Caenorhabditis elegans: one gene and its partner. The protein of the gene in region 1 purifies or fractionates together with the protein of each later gene. This does not show direct contact. Each region holds a gene or a part of one and is shown on either strand. Other genes may lie near its edges.

The links.
Region 2: the proteins of oct-1 (region 1) and C15C6.3 fractionate together in Caenorhabditis elegans (co-fractionation; one large-scale study listed by BioGRID). This does not show direct contact.

The regions. Positions count from the first base shown.
Region 1 is NC_003279.8:9,887,389-9,894,894, reverse strand, and holds oct-1 (Organic cation transporter 1), read left to right. Parts: upstream 1-2,671; 5' UTR 2,672-2,716; coding exon 2,717-2,734; intron 2,735-3,350; coding exon 3,351-3,428; intron 3,429-3,481; coding exon 3,482-3,560; intron 3,561-3,605; coding exon 3,606-3,697; intron 3,698-3,795; coding exon 3,796-3,878; intron 3,879-3,936; coding exon 3,937-4,015; intron 4,016-4,420; coding exon 4,421-4,679; intron 4,680-4,725; coding exon 4,726-4,834; intron 4,835-5,142; coding exon 5,143-5,329; intron 5,330-5,377; coding exon 5,378-5,493; intron 5,494-5,544; coding exon 5,545-5,941; intron 5,942-6,019; coding exon 6,020-6,152; intron 6,153-6,317; coding exon 6,318-6,445; 3' UTR 6,446-6,539; downstream 6,540-7,506. Other genes in the region: col-64 (Nematode cuticle collagen N-terminal domain-containing protein), read left to right, coding at 1-229, 327-595, 884-1,197; Zinc metalloproteinase nas-5, read right to left, coding at 6,741-7,088, 7,423-7,506. UniProt on the Caenorhabditis elegans protein: Transports organic cations such as tetraethylammonium (TEA). Displays a broad substrate specificity.
Region 2 is NC_003279.8:12,204,690-12,213,764, reverse strand, and holds C15C6.3 (YTH domain-containing protein), read right to left. Parts: upstream 6,669-9,075; 5' UTR 6,667-6,668; coding exon 6,624-6,666; intron 6,506-6,623; coding exon 6,236-6,505; intron 6,174-6,235; coding exon 6,109-6,173; intron 5,324-6,108; coding exon 5,185-5,323; intron 4,771-5,184; coding exon 4,672-4,770; intron 4,564-4,671; coding exon 4,179-4,563; intron 3,536-4,178; coding exon 2,844-3,535; intron 1,966-2,843; coding exon 1,559-1,965; 3' UTR 1,076-1,558; downstream 1-1,075. Other genes in the region: popl-4 (Ribonuclease P protein subunit p29), read right to left, coding at 581-635; C15C6.2 (DUF7778 domain-containing protein), read right to left, coding at 7,986-8,256, 8,648-8,925, 8,978-9,075.

The DNA of each region.
Region 1 (7,506 bases):
GAAGAAAAGGAGCCGATGGACCACACGGAGGTCAAGGACGAAAGGGTCCGGATGGAATGGATGTATTCAAAGAAATGATTGGTCCTGTTGAATGTATTCCATGTGTTGCTGGAGAACCTGGACCACCAGGAGAAAATGGTTCTGTTGGAGAAAAAGGAGAAGATGGACAACCTGGAAGTCCTGGAAAACCAGGTGAAGATGGAGAATCTGGAACTGATGGGGAACCAGGGTGAGTATTATACTTTAAAAATATTCAATATACATTTTTTAAATGAATCCTCAAAATGAATCTAGTCAAACTCAGAATTCTAATTTTCAATTTCAAGATTCATCGGATTCCCTGGATTCCCAGGTGCACCTGGTGAGAATGGAGAACAAGGAAACAATGCAACTCGTGGAGTTGGAATTCCTGGACCAGCAGGACCACCGGGTCCTCCAGGAGAAGTCGGAATGCCTGGAGTAACAGGTGAAACTGGAGAAGACGGACATGATGGACCTGAAGGACCAGAAGGACCAGCTGGAAATATAGGAGATATAGCTGAAGAAGGACCAGATGGTATTCCAGGCGAGCAAGGAGTTCCTGGGTTCGATTCCGGTTAGTTGAAAACATGAAATATTAACTCACGATCTACAAAACACATGTCTACGTGGTTAAATTTACAGGAATTATCAAACTTTTATTTTTGTTAATTCTGACGTATTATTTCAAAAATTCGACTGCTGGAAATTTATTCAAAACACTGTAGACCCAAAAAACCTTGAAAGTCGGTGCTACTACAAGACATACGATCTTGAAACAACCATTACTTTGAAACTAACTCTGACTATGAGAAACTTGCAACTTTGAAATCGATTTCTATTTTCCTTATTTTATAATTTCCAGGCTATTGTCCATGTCCTCGTCGATCATCTTCAAGAGTTTCACCTTCCGGTGGATCTTCTCCAATCTCAGATACATTCATTGCATCTCCAACACTTCTTCCACCATCAACTACACTTTCATCAACCCCTCCAACTATATCTCCATCTGCTCCAACTCTTCTACCAACTAGATCTCCAAAATCTCGTGAAGAAACTCCGACAAGAAGAGAAGAACAACAAGTACCACCGAATCCTTCATCTTCTGAAGTCCCAGAAACTGGAGATTCTGCAAACTCTCAAAACTTTGGTGGATATCTCGCTTTGAAGAGATTGTGACAATCAATTACTAACATATTTTCTTAAATTTATCCCACTTTAAACAGAAAACTGAATGATAAACCTTTTTTCATAGATCTGATCAAAAAGTGATCAAGAAGGAAGTATAGAATCATCAATCACTAACCTAAATCCTGTGATATTTAGGAAGAGCAACTGCTGCGGTTTAGATGTGTTATTGGGTCAATCGGAGTGAACTCAAATTTGCTCAAAAAACTCAAATTTGCTCAAGCGTTAGGTGTTTTTCCTCTCACTTCGAAAGATGCATTCTTTTGACAAATAATATTTTTCTGTGTGGTTTTGTAAACTAGTTTAGCAGGAGTTAAACTGATTCCCTTATCTTTTGTTTTTAATTATGATTATTCTTTGCATGAGCTTCGTCTCGGAAGCGTCTCGGAACTTTTTAGTTATAGATTTTTTGGCTCTAATAGTGGAGTAAAAAATTAAATATTGGAAAGTTTCAAAAATTTTTGTGGCCACCAAGATATCTTGTTCAAAATACTTTAGAATACGAAATGTTTTTTGCATGGCACGAAAAAAGAAAACGGCTCTAGAAGTTTTACTATTTTAATTTCGTTGAAAACTCTTTCTTGTAATTCAATTGTCGTGTCATGCTACAGTATTCCCTCTCTCAACTATTCAAACATTTTCCAACATCGTACCACTATAACGTGTGAAGCTTCATACGCTTGTTTTTCTCAGGTTTAATCGCTTAGATCTTGTAGAATAATCTAAAACCGTGTATGTAGTTGTTCTCAAGGTTTATGTGTTTATTATATTACTATATATTTAAAAAGAAATTGCGTTTGTCTATAGTTTTTTAGTATTTTGGTATTACTGTAGTTTCATTAATGTGGGTATACTACCTCTACCTTTCCTAGTGTTTGACATAAAAAGGTCTCACCACGCATTAATCATTCAATTTTTTTTTGAGAAAACGTTGATCAGTGTAGATCCAGGTGGGACCGTTCAGATAGGATTGTTTTTAAAGAATCATGATTTTGAGCAAGTGCCGCAGATCTTGATCATATTAAAGCCCTTCAATTTTTCGTAGTGTGTACTATTTAATGATGTCTGGCAGGAAAAGATTCATTGACTTTAAGAAAGAATGACCAATATAAAAAGCAACATGCTGCAGGCCACCGGCTATTTTGGTGCCTACTCTAAAAGTTTCAACCTAAGTTCTCTTTCTTATTCTTTTTCTTATTATTTCCTATATTAAGTTCTCTTATCTATTTAGGCTTTTTAGACAAGTTCGAAGAAATTATTATTAGTTACATTGCCAACTCTGAATTACCACCATTGTCCTTTAACCCATGAAACATCAAATAAATCCTTAAAAATATCGGGTGCAAACTTTCTCACTTGACATTTCAAGTATTACCCCTCACTTCAATATTCAATCAACCGATCTGGGTACTTCACAATTTCCTCATTTTCCCCCTATTTTCTCAATTTTCTATTTTTTTTCCTGAAAAAAGTCGTCTCATCGACGATTTTAACGTATTCTATTGCAAAAATGTCATTCCAGGCAATGGTAAGTTGATCTCAATTGTCTATTCTTATCAAATTAAGACTTCTCATTATTTCTAATTACTCACAGACCGGCAAACTTTGACTTTTTCTTCAGAAAATGGGAAAAATGTGACTTTTTAGCAGCCAATTTATGTCCTGATTTTTAGTTGAACTTTATTCATTTTTGTAAACATAGTTTTTTCTCGTTTAAGCCTTTTACGTAATTATACTGTTTAGTTTTATTAAAAGAAGATAGGAATATCATTTTGTTGCAATTCTCAGAAGTCTTGTAGAATAATAGAAGTTCAGAAACAGCCTACCTTCGTGCCTACCAATAGTACCTTATGTTCCCATTTCAATTAAATTTTGCCTACAAACTTAAAAACTTAAAAAGCTTTTTTTCCGGCAGCAAGTTCCCGAATAGGCAAGAGGCAGGCATAGTTCGTCTTGTAAATAAAATTAAGTTTTTTTTTTGAAACTTCGATTGGTTGATGAGTTTAAACAAATTTAATATGGCTGTATTTCAAAATTATTTTCAATTTTCTTAACCAAATTTTTGAATTCCAACACTTGTTTTTTTAATAGGTCATTTTCATGTATTTTAAAAACTTTCAATAATTTTAAAGTAATTTTTATAGGAGACATTTGCTGAGATCAGTCAAGAAATATTGATGTCTGCAACTAAACCTCCAGATTTTGATTTCGTTCTAGAACAGGTTACCGCCACACAAAATCAAATATTCAAAGAAATAATAATATACGATTTAAGGTTGGCAACTATGGTACTTATCAGATTGTTTTCTTCTTTATAATTTGCCTTCCAACTAGTTTACCATCAGCATTCTCGGGTAGATTTTATTTATATAAACTCAAATAAAAAGTTTCAAATTTAGCATTCAACATTCCATTTGTTGTTGGAAATCCACCGCATACATGTCATATTCCTGAAGGAAAAGAATATTTACGACCATTGACTAATGATACTGTAAGTTCCTATTTTTATCAGGTTTTCTTTCAACAAAACTTTGAAAAAATAGATAATTCCAACTTTGAAACTTTTCTTTAAAAATAATGAATTTACAGCAAATTCTCTCTTGCAAACAGTACAACGAGACTCAAATAAACGTGTTCCGGGCTTTTACATCAGCTCCAGTCGATACTTACAGGTAACTTGTGGAACAGTTTATTTTTTAGATATTTTCATATAGAAATTCAAAATTTCAGCGATCGAATAAGTTTAGTGCCGTGCCAAAATGGATGGGATTATGATAACTCTACATATTTGGATAGCTTGGTGACAGAGGTATGCTTAAAAATAAATTTAACGATTTTTAAGCGAATTAGAAAAAAAAACTTCACGAACGACAATACGAAATTTCAAAATTTTAATGAAATTATTTGTACACTTTTATAATTATTATAATTATTCAATAATCTTGAATGACCTAAAGTTTTGCCATTTTCCGGTTTCATAAATTAGAGTTTTGCTGATTTTTTCTTAAACCCGATCACTTTTCTGCTGAAAAATGAAAGTATTAAAAACAAATTAACGGAGTAAAACTAATTATAGTTACTATAGTTGAGCCGGAAACAAATGGCAAAAATATAGGCTCGGGAATTCAAAATTAATTCAGCTTTTTAATTTTTTTTCAGAGCTTTAAATCATAAAATAATTAGAATAATTCTATACGACAGTACAAAATTTCAGTTCAATTTGGTGTGTGATCAACAAGCATGGATTGAAATATCAACAACGTCCTTCTATGTCGGAAGTTTTATTGGAAACTGTCTATTTGGATATGTTGCTGATAAATTCGGACGAAGAAGATCATTTTTTGTAATTCTAACAGTTTTGATCGTATGTGGAACTGCGAGCTCATTTGCAAAAGATATCGAATCCTTCATTATTCTTCGATTCTTCACTGGTTTGGCATTTCCAGCGTTATTCCAGATTCCTTTTATTATTTGTAAATTTGTGTCGATGGGTGTTCAATTGAGAAATATGGTTTTTAGGTATGGAATTTATGGGCAACTCTGGAAGAATATTTTCTGGACTTATGACATCACTTTTCTTTGGAGCAGCTATGGCTTTGCTCGGAGTAGTGGCCATGTTCATCAGAAGGTATCAATTTGAAAAATCGTTTGTATTTCTGAATGTTTGAAAGTCGCAGTAGTGTTGTCTAGTAAGGAAGAATTTTGAGCTCACTGTTGCACTTCTGAATTAAGCATTTTTAATTCAGAATATTTTTTTAAATAGCACACTTCTGAAAATATTAGCATAAGCACTTTGCACTGATATTACATACTAATCTTACCACATAGGTGTGTATGTATAATAAACCTTGATTTATATTTTTCAATTTCAAATAAATACGAAAAAAATAATAATTTCCAAGTTTTATAAAAGTTTAGCTTGAATTTTTATTTCAGATGGCGTCAGCTAACATTCTTCTGCAATGCTCCATTTGCATTCTATATAATTTATTACTTCTTCCTCCCAGAATCTCCAAGATGGTCAGTTTCAGTCGGAAAATGGGCTGACGCTAAGAAACAGCTTAAGAAAATTGCAAAGATGAATGGAAAGTCAAATGTTGATGTTGATGAATTAGTGGATAGTGTGAGGTTTTTAATCAATTATATGTTTTACCAAAAAAACAAATTTCAGATGAAAAACCATCAAAATGCTGCAGAAGAAAAAGAAACGAAGAGAAGTCACAATGTGACAGATCTTTTTAAAACTCCTAATTTAAGAAGAAAAACTTTGATTGTGACCTATATATGGTAAGATTTTCATATTTTTATAAAATGCCTATAAAAAAGTAATATTTCCAGGGTAATGAATGCAATTATTTACAATGGATTAACTTTGAATGTTTCAAATCTTCCAGTTGATGATTATTGGAGTTTTATAATAAATGGAGCAGTTGAATTACCTGGATATTTCGTTGTTTGGCCTCTACTTCAATGTGCGGGTCGTCGTTGGACACTTGCAGCAACAATGATTGTATGTGGTATTGGATGTGTTTCTGCAATGTTTATGCCAGATGGTTATCCATGGCTTGTGGCCAGTGCTTCGTTTATAGGAAAATTTGGAGTTGGATCCGGATTCGCTGTTATCTATATATTTGCTGGAGAGCTTTATCCAACTGTTGTTAGAGCAATTGGAATGGGAATGAGTAGCATGGTTGCCGGTTCTGGGCTCTTGTTGGCTCCGCATATTGTTAATTTGGTAGGGTTTCTTTTTTTATAAATAAGTTTATAAAACTTTTTGAACCACAAAATAAATATTGGAAAAACGATTTTTCAGGGGAAAATAGTAAAGATATTGCCTCTACTTATCATGGGCCTGATGGCTTTGTCTGCCGGTATTTTGACATTTTTCCTACCCGAAACTCTTGGAGCACCACTGCCAATGACAATTGAGGATGCAGAGAATTTTGGTGAGTTAAAGACTTTGAGATACGGTGTCTTAGAATACTAACGCTTACTTCGTGGTAAAGAAAGGTATCACTTGGACTGTCTTATAATGTTCCAGGACGAGGCATATGCTTATAGGTCTCTTGCAAGCTGTTTACAAATCATTAATAATTGAAATAATATTTCAGGTAAAAAGCCAGAACCAGACAGTGGAATGTTCACACAAGCAGCCAAGAAACGAGAATCTCAACCACTTCTGGAACCCCATACACCAATGGATAGAAGACGGAGAAGTAGTCGACTTATGAATATTTAGACTTTTATTGTTCTCCATTGTTTTCTGAGGATAATTGGTAGGTTTTAATAAAACTTTGATCTCAATATTTTTTGTATCAATAAAGATTGTTGCTAAAAATGCGACTTCCGTCTTGCATCGACACTCCGATATTCTACCACTTTTTATTAAAATTGTTTGCATAGTCATATTTTTTGCATACCCAATGAATACATCAGTGTAAAACTGTAAGAAGTGAAAAATAAAAATAATTTGGGGCATTATTTATACAAATACCGTTGAAAAAAATATGATAAATTAAAATCATCGGATCAAATTATTGAAAAATCGATTTGATTCTTTGCCAAAGTGATCCATCGGATGGAGTTCCAGATGTTGTAGTTGTTGTAGATGTTGGTGCAGAACATGAAGAACAACAAAATGTAGCCATTACTTTACAATTAAGCATTTCTCTTGATTTCAACATTGGACATATTCCTAACCGATCTGTACACGAATCTCCTTGTTGTACAGGTGCATTTGTAATAATTGGATTATTCAACTCAATATGTTCTTGCTCAACAATTTGTTGGAAATCTTGATGCATACATTTGGAACAATGATAGATTGCACACACTTTCTTATAGTCATTGCTAGAAGCATCTTTGGGGTGACCAATAACTTTCTGAAAAAGAAATGAAACGAGTTATTTATTTTTCTTTTTCCGTATTATTTTTCTTTTTTTCACATGTTCATACATCAGTTTCGAGTTCGGTTCACATGATGTTCTGAATGTTGACTAACTATTGATTTGATGATTTCTATAAATTCTACGATCTTTTTTGACTGAACAGGATTTTGAAAGACAAACATTGCAGGAAATTAAGTTATTTTTGTGCTAAAAAGTGTTTTGAAAATCACGACAATTTTTATTGATTAGCATTTTTTGGTAACATTTGGCACTTACTAAAAACATCCTAAAGGTGAATAAAAAAAATGGCATAAATATACATACTTACCTGAAATTTTGAATCCTTTGTCATCATACTAATCTTTCCTGGTTTTGCAAAAGCATTCTCATCATAATGCATTACAGAATTATA
Region 2 (9,075 bases), 2.3 Mb from region 1:
GATTTTTTTGAATGATTGATTTTTTTTCAAAATTTTTCAGATTTTTTACGAAATTTTTGAATTATTGATTTTTTTGAAAATTTATTGACTTTTGAAAAATTATCGATTTTCACCGAAAATTTATCGACTTTTTGGGAAAATTAAATATTGATTTTATAAAATTATTGATTATTCGAATATTTTTTCTTTGATTTTTGCGAAAAATCATTCATTTCTAAACATTATTGATTATTCTGAAATTTTATCGATTTTTTTTGAAAAAAAATTATCGATTTTCGAATTCATTGATTTTTCGAAGATTTCTTTAAAATTTGGATTTTTACGGAATATTATCGATTTTTTAAAAAAGAGATTGAGAAATTTATTTATTTTATTATAGATTTTTTCAATTGAACTTAAGTTTATTGGCTTTTCGAAGGTTTTTTCCAAAAAAATTGATTTTTACGGAAAATTTATCGATTTTTTCGTAAATTTATTGATTTTTTGACGATTTTTTGATTGTTTTTCCAATTTTTTACGGAAAATTATCATTTTTAGTTCAAAATTTCAATTTATTTTTTTCTCAAAAATTGAAAATTACCTCCTCCCCGAGACGTGGATTCTCCTGGCTCTCCAATTCGTACGTCTTTGCTCATTTTTTTTTTCGATAGAATTCTGGAAAAAAACGGATATTTTAGTAAAATTGTATTTTTTTTCAAATTTCTGGGAACAATTTCAAAAATTTCATCAATTTTGATGGTTTTTTTTCGAATTTTTTTGGGAAATATCGGTGAAATGTAGATTTACGCAGCTCGTGTACTCCCCGAGGAGAAGATTTTCCTTTTTTTTCAAAATACGTGGTTTTACACTTTTTAAAATTATTTTTTGTTTCGTTTAGTGGTTTAAGTGAAAAATAGCAAATAACTGCAAGATCTTCTCCACGGGGAGTACACGAGTCTTGTAAATCGACACATGGCCGTGGAAGAGGTTTTACACGGCCAGCTCTTCCATATATTCAAATAGTAGTTTTTAAAAAGAAATAAGTCATTTTCTGAATATTAAATCGTCTCTAAACCCAAAAAATACACAAAAAATCTTTAAAAATTCCCAGATATTGTATTTATATAGACAAAAAAAAAACAGAAAAAGTTTCAAAAACTAAACCACACATAAAAATATTTCTAAACAATCACAAAAACCGACGGGGAGGGGGGGTTCGGGGTAAAATAATTGAAAAAACCCAATTAAAAAAAAATATTATAGCGATTTTGGTAGAGAGAAAAGAAGGGAAAAATTGAAAAACCGTAGCAAAAACGAGAGAGAGAAAGCGTGCTCTATTGCACTTTAGATGTGGGTGGGAGGAGATGGGGAATAAATAAATAAAATATGAAATTTAATTTATTTCTAGGGATTTTGCTTCAAAAAATTGAAAAAAAAACAAAAAATGAAAAATTCAACTGCGACCAATCAGCGATTCGCTCCGCCCACTTTTGGACCAATCAGCGAAATTGCTCGGTTTTTTTCAGCTTTTTAGACTATTTTTCAACTTTTTGAATTAAAAATCCCAAGAAATTAGTGCTCATTGAGCAGTCGCCGTGGCCGAGCTCTCCGATGAATTTCCCTCGAGCAACGGGGAGGATTTTTGAATTTCCAGCATTTTATTGATTGATTTCAGCCGCATTTTCAACTGTTTCTTCGTTTCCCGAATCGAAATCGACGGTGGTGGTGGTGGAAATTCCTCCGGCTCATTTTCTGGTGGCGGTGGAGGTGGTGGTGGTGGAGCAGCTTCTTCGGATTCCAGAAGCTCATCGACTTGCTGAGCTGGCTCCGGTGATGCGGAGCGCGATGAAGCTGGATTTGGGCTCACTGGAGCTGCAGCTTTTTGAGCAATTGGCTCCGCTGGCTCATCCTCATCGGAGCTGATTTTCTCTTGCTCCGTTGGAAGTTTTTGGCGGTAGCGAGATGGAAGTTTGGAGCTGGAGGAATCTGGAAAAAAATTAATTTTTGAATAATTTTGGCGATTTTTTCTGATTTTTTCAAAGAAAATCACTATTTTTTCGTTTTTTTTTTATATTTTTTGACGTTTTTTCGAAAAAAAATTTTTTTTGGAAAAAATTAAATGTTCTAATTTTTCTGATATATTTATGCGATTTTTTTTTTGATTTTTTGGAATTTTTTTGGGAAATTTTCCAATGAATTTCTGCAATTTTTCTTCAAATTTTCAATTTTTGCCGAGAAAAATGTTCGAAAAATCTTCGTGTTGGTTTTTAATAGAAAATCAATAGAAAAATCTAATTTTTGTATTGAAAAAGCCAAAATTTGCGAAATCTTCTCCTCGAGGAGTACACGAGAGCCACGTAAATCGACACATGGCAATTCGGTGTTTTTCGGAAATTTTAGGGCAAATTTGTGGTGAAAATGAATAGAAATTCATCAAATTTCAGCATTTTTTAGCAAATTTTTTGCATTCTAATAGATTCTATAGTTTTGGGGTGGTTTTTTTCCAGGAAAAACCAAAATTTTATCGATTTCTCGATGGATTTTTTCAAACTTCTAGAAAAAATAATCAATTTTCAATGGAATTTCTCTTTTTTGACGTAAATACCATAGTTTTTCGGATTTTTTTTCGGAATTTTTTAAAACTCAAATTTTGCGATTTTTTAGTGTCAAATTGAGTTAATTGAGTTAATTTCATCGATTTTTGATCTTTTTTTTTTCAAATTTCGGGTGAAAATATCAAATTTTAAAGGCTTATTTCCGTTAAAATCGACATATTTTATAGTTTCTGGCGGTTTTTTTTTTAAACAAATGTTTCCATTTTTTCGCTAAAAATCCCCAAAATTTTCATCCAAATAAAGCAGCACCTGAGCTATCCGAATGACTAGATCGACTCCTGCTTCTGCTCGACGAGCTCGACGAGCTACTTCTCGACGTGATGCTCTCCTTAGAAGGCGATCGGCGGTTCCGTTTGATCTTCGAGATCCTTTTTCCTCGCCGAGAGTCAAATGTCGATGCACTATCATCACTATCACCACTAATATTCTGAGGTCCACCAGCAGTGTCTCCACGTCGAAGCTTCTGCTTCTGATCATCCTTCCGACGTTTCGCCGATGGAACCATCGGTGGGGTCTCCGATCTTTGACGAGATCGTTTGATTTGAGATCTTGAGCTGCTACTTGCTCCATTCTTGCTGAAAAACGAAGAATTCTGAGAATCCCTGCCGGAAGAGCTTCGTTTCGGGATCCGATAAGCATGAATATCTCCTGTAACCACACTATCCTGCCGTTTTTTCTTCTGCTGGAACATTTTTTTATCGTGTCCCGGTGGATATGGTGGAGGTGAACGGCTTCGGGATCTTCGTGATGGTGACGATGGAGTCTTCCGCTTCATGTGCTGCTGCTGACGGGATCGTTTCGATGAGCTTCCACGATCTGAGGATGTTGAATAGGTTCGGGAACGAGATCGGTGACTTCGGCGACGAGCTCGGCGCCGTCTGCTAGAAGATCCGGCGTCAGATGAGTCGGTGGAGATGTCACGGGCTCCAGGGATTGTGGCTCTGAAAGTAGAATTTTTTTTGGTTTTTTTATCGATTTTTTTTCCAATTTACTGATTTCTCGCAACTTTTTGGAATTTTTTTTGCAATTTTTCCGATTTTTAGAATTTTTTTCCATTTTTTTGCAAATTTTTTCCGGTTTTTTGAAATTTTGTTTTAAAGTTTTCTGATTTTTGGCAATTTTTTACCGATTTTTTAGCCATTTGTGCAATTTTTTCTGATTTTTGAAAATTTTCGTCAATTTTTCCAATTTTTTTGCAACTTTCTCCGAATTTTTGGGAAAAAATTGTAATTTTAACCATTTTTAGTTGCGTTAAATTTCCAATCCGCATGTGCCGCACGAAAAAAGGGGCGTGGTTTCGATTTGCAAGGCTGCGGCACTGTTTTTAGTTTAATAGAAATTAGTTTAAAGAAAAAAAAAAAAAAAAAAAAATTTTAGTTTAAAGAAAAAAACGAATAAATCCTTGAAAAATCTGAAAATAAAAAGCCGCGCCGCAGACTTGCAAAACGAAACCCCGCCCCTTTTTTCGTGCCGCACTTGCGAATTTTTAATTGAAAAACAATGGAAAAACACATTATTTTGCCGAAAAAAACCAAATTTTTGCGCCAAATTTGCGATTTTTGTTGAAAATGAAGAAAAAAACACATTTTTAGACGATTTTCCCATAAAAACAGTCTTTTTACGCACTCAGAAGTGGACGAAGACACCGAAGACGACCGTTTCGCCTTTTTCAGTGTAATTTTCCGCTCTCTCGGCGGTCGTTTCTGCATTGCTTCCTCATCTGTATCACTGGATATCTCGTGAGCATCGAATTTCGACGGCGAATAGCTAATTCCACGTGCAGGCGGTGATTTTGACGAATTTCGGCGGGTAATTTGTGGTGGCGCCTGGCGCTGACTAATGGTCCTGCCACGAAACATTGGAGCATCGCGAGCCGGTGCCGATGGCGCGGAGTCACGTTTAAATCGATTTTGTGATGATGATGGATTTGGCGGCGCGCGATTCGGGTAGATCACTTGTGGGCCGAGATCTGAAAAAATTTGAATTTTTAGGTAGAAAATTGCATTTTTAGAGGTGAATGGCCAAAAAATGGACCGAAAAACCTCGTTTTATTTTCAAATTTCGCGTAAAATTAAACCTTTCATTTGTGGTTTGTGGGTCCGGATGTCCAAAAGCGATGGGATCGCCCGTTTGTCTGGATCCGTAGGTGACGTGGATCCTCGATCAGCTTCTGCGTCTGAAATTGGAGCATTTTTAAGCTTTAAAACACTGAAAAATGGTCTAAAAACATGAAAATTAGCTAAACGTCGGCAGTTTTTCGCCTATTTTGTAGATTTTCAGCAGGAAAACTGAAAAAAATTTAATGAAAAGTGGTAAAATTGGAGATTTTCTATGAAATTAGTGACTTTTATTGAAAAATCGCTAGTATTATCGGTTTTGAGGGAAATTTTGAGTTTTTTTTGAGTTTTTTCCAGTTTTCCCGAGATTTTTTGTATTTTTTGCCGAATTTTTTACTTCCAAAAATCAAAAATTGCTCTGAAATTCACTGAAAAACTGCAAATTTCAGTGTTTTTCTTCGAAATTTGCGGATTTTTCTGTTTTTTGGACTGAAAAATTCGGATTTTCAGCTGAAAAATCAATTTTTACCAACCTTCGCGACCATTAACAGCTCTTTTTGCTGCTAAAAGTGCAGCTTCCCATGAAACTGTTCCAGGATCTTCGCGACGTGGCACATATGGATGATTCCGGATTGGTGGAAGTTGTCGACCCATTGGACGGGAAATTCGGTTCTGAAAATTGAGAATTTGAGGGTTGAAAGCAGAAAATTCACACAAAATATGATTAAAAACGTTAAAAATCATGCTTAAAATGCATCAAAAAGCTCAAAAATTTCACAAAAATCAATAAAATCGCTGAAAATTAGGCTTTGAGACAGAAAAAGCCAATAAAATTGACTAAAATGAGCGACAAAAGAAAGCTAAAAATTGGGAAAATTGGAGTTTTGCAGTAAAAATAGGTAATTTTATCGGAAAAATGATAAAAATCGGATAAAATTCACAATTATGCAGTTTTCCATCGCTTTTCACATAATTTTTACTATTTTTTGCCCATTTTGACCGATTTTTCCCTGATTTAAGGGCATTTTGTGCACATTTCGACTAAAATTGAGCCAAAATGAGCGAAAAATCGTAGAAATCCAGTAAAAAATGATTTCTAACCGCTATGACAAGAAAAATTGAAGGTTTTATCCGAAATTTGCGGTTTAATCGATAAAACTACTCCAAAAATTGCATTTTTACTGAAAATGGGGCTTTTCAAACGTATTTCACTGTGAAAATTGATCTTTGTGGGTTATTTTATGGGAAAATTAATTTAAAAATAGCGAAATTCGGGTTTCCACCTGCCGGTGTCCGATTTTTTGCGCTTTTTTTTTGTGAAAAAAGAGCAAAAATGTGCCAAATTGCACGAAACAACGAATAAAAATCGATTTCTGACACGAAAAATTGCAATTTTTAGCTTTTTTCAGGCTACTTTCAGGATTCCATGCAAAACGAGACGGACAACATCGACTCACATCATTCATACTCGAACCAACCTCTATGGGCCTTCTAGCGGACCCAGCTGGAGCCGTAATAGGCGCTGAAATTCATGGAAATTACTTTAAAGCCATTATTTTAATAAAAAAAAAATTCAATTTCTACCTCGTTTTTGCGGCTCATCATCCTTAATTTCGCCGTCATCACTGTCCTCGAGCTCGCCGTCTTCAAGTTCTCCGTCTTCTTTCTCTTCTTCATCTTCTTTATCCGATTTCTCAGCTTTTTCCTCAATTTCTCCGTCTTCCGAAGCTTCTTCCTTCTCTTCACCTTCTTCTCCGTCCTCTGGATCCTCGTTATAGTCCAGAGCTTCGGCTTCTGCCTCCGGAGAGCCTGACTTCACTACTTCATCGTCTTCTTCTTCTTCTTCTAGATTATCTGAAATTGAGCATTTTACTTTAATTTTGCATTTTTTGTTTTTTAATTTTATATAATTTTTTGGGGTAAAATGACTCAAAAATTACGAAAAAACGGCTAAAAATCGTCTAAAACTCACCAACTTCGGCGATTCGTTCCAAAAGTGAATCCTCGTCGTCCATACCTTAAAATACGAAAAATCAATAATTTTCGAATTATTTAAAGCCAAAATTTGTCTGCTGGGAAGATTTACACAGGATTCAATTCGAACTCAACCTTTGAATTATGCTCAAGAAGAACTGGAAAAAAGTGTGAGAAGAAGTGAGTGAGATTTGGTGGGAAATAGGCATTTTTGCGAATTCGGGGGGCCAAGGGGACAAAATATCAATAATTATATGGATAAATAATCGAATTTCGAATCGATTTTCATCGGTAATTTGCAGATTTATTCGTGAATTCGGGCAATTCGTCCAGAGAACGCCGCGTTTTGTTGTGTGTGAGTGAGAGAGTGAGAGTGATGCCAGCGACGTGGCAAATGGTGAGAGACGCAGAGAGATGGAGAGAGTGAGATCGATGATGTACGCAAACACCGCAGGGGACGCAGGCGCGATATTTGACGGGCAATGTTTATTGTTTTTAATAGAAATAATTATTTCTATTATTTTGGAAGGTGAATTAATGAATTTATAAGAAGATTTTGTAATTTTTCAAAAAATTGGGTTAGAAACTACGAAAAGTCAACGAAAATGTTCAAAGTGTGTAGAAAAACATGTAAAATTGGAGATTTTCATTTTAAAAATTCGATAAAGCTTTGAAAACCGAGTTTTTAGGTTCAAAATTAACAAAAATTGAGCACATATTTACTGAAAATGCACCTAAATCAGCGAAAATAGACAAAATAGATGGACATTGAATAACAATCAATTTCTGGCAGGAAAAGGTGACAAAACTGAGATTTCTAGCTAATTTTTGCACTGTCAAAATTTTATCCGAATTTTAATAGATTTAACAATAAGGAATTGCATAATTTAGAGGCATTCTAAGTCGATTTCAGTGTAAAAATTTCTACTTCATATCTAATTTTCCCTAAAATTGTGAAAAATTAAAAAAAAACCTATAAAAATTAACTAAAAACTGTGGAAACTGACCATCGCCGAGGGAACACGGAACACTTTTCCCTTTCACTAGCTGCACATATCGGGGCCGAAAAACATACAAACAAAATACGCGCGCGCCGCGATTTGTTCACTGTAGGAGGTGGAAAAGAAAACGACGAAATAGTGCAGCCCATCTTAACTTTTTATTGGATCTTTTCACATATTTATGGTCACATAAAAAGAGTTACCATGGGTGCAAACTTTTGAAAATTTTGGTATTTCTGCTTGAGAAACTGAGCTGGAAAACTGAAATCTCGAAATTTCTAAAATCTGCAACAATATAGGCTTCCCTGGAGCCCTAATTTTTGTAAAACGAGGAAAATAAGATACTTTATTGAATTCTATTAGCACCGAAGAGATCTAGTCCACCACTGATTTTCTCTGTCCGCCTGCGCCTCGTATTCTCTCCTCTCTCTGGCATTCGTTGGCTCCAGCAGAACTACAGTTTCATCGCTGAAAACTGCTCTTGGGGTGCAGAAGATTTCAGAGACAAAGCTTGGCTCATCGCAGTTGGCTTTGTGTTGTTGCTCGGCGAGCACTTGCTCCTTAGGCTTCAGGACGAGCTCCTTCTCGAGTTTCTGGCGAAGAGACCGGACGGAGACATGGGGAAGTGGTCTGAAAGGATGATGTTGAGAAAATGATATAAATTTTGAAATTTAAAAACGGAAGAGCTGGCCGTGTGAAACCTCTTCCACGGCCATGTGCCGATTTACGCAGGCCTGGCGCGGCTAAAATTCCCGATTTCAGAGCATTTTAGCTAATTTTTCATGCAGTTTCCATCAGATTTCACCTAAAATGCTTGAGTTGACCGGGAAAATGTCAGAATAATTCACAAAAATGGCCCAAATTCCAGAATTTTAATTATTAAGTCTTCTCCTCGAGGAGTACACAGGCTGCGTAAATCGACACAAGATTGTGATAACAACATGTGTTAGAGGTTTTACACGGCCATTCTTCCATTTTCACGCATATGTGAGCTTCAAAACCTCATCGACTTCCCACTTACATTTGCTCGATGGCAGTGGGCTTCACCTCGTCGACTTCATCATCCTCATCATAGTCATAAGATGCTGACGATGTAGACGACATCTCTTCAAAGATTCCAGAATCCTCCACCGCCGTCATCATCGCGACATTAAGGCTTCCATCATCGCGGGGCTCTGTAGACGGCAAGCACTTTCCGGCGGCTCTCATAATCGCGCACGTCCACTTGTGAACATCATTATGGCCGACAAAGAGGTGAACATTGCCACGTTGCATGCGGATTTTGATGTGACAGCGGAACTGCAACAATTATTGGAATTTGAATAGGAAAGAGTCAGACGGCTCAATTTACATGACGCTGCTTTTTCGAACGATCAGCAGTGCACAGAACATTCCTGGCCGATCGCAAATCAATCACCAATCCGTGGTCGTCATTCTCGTAAATGATCA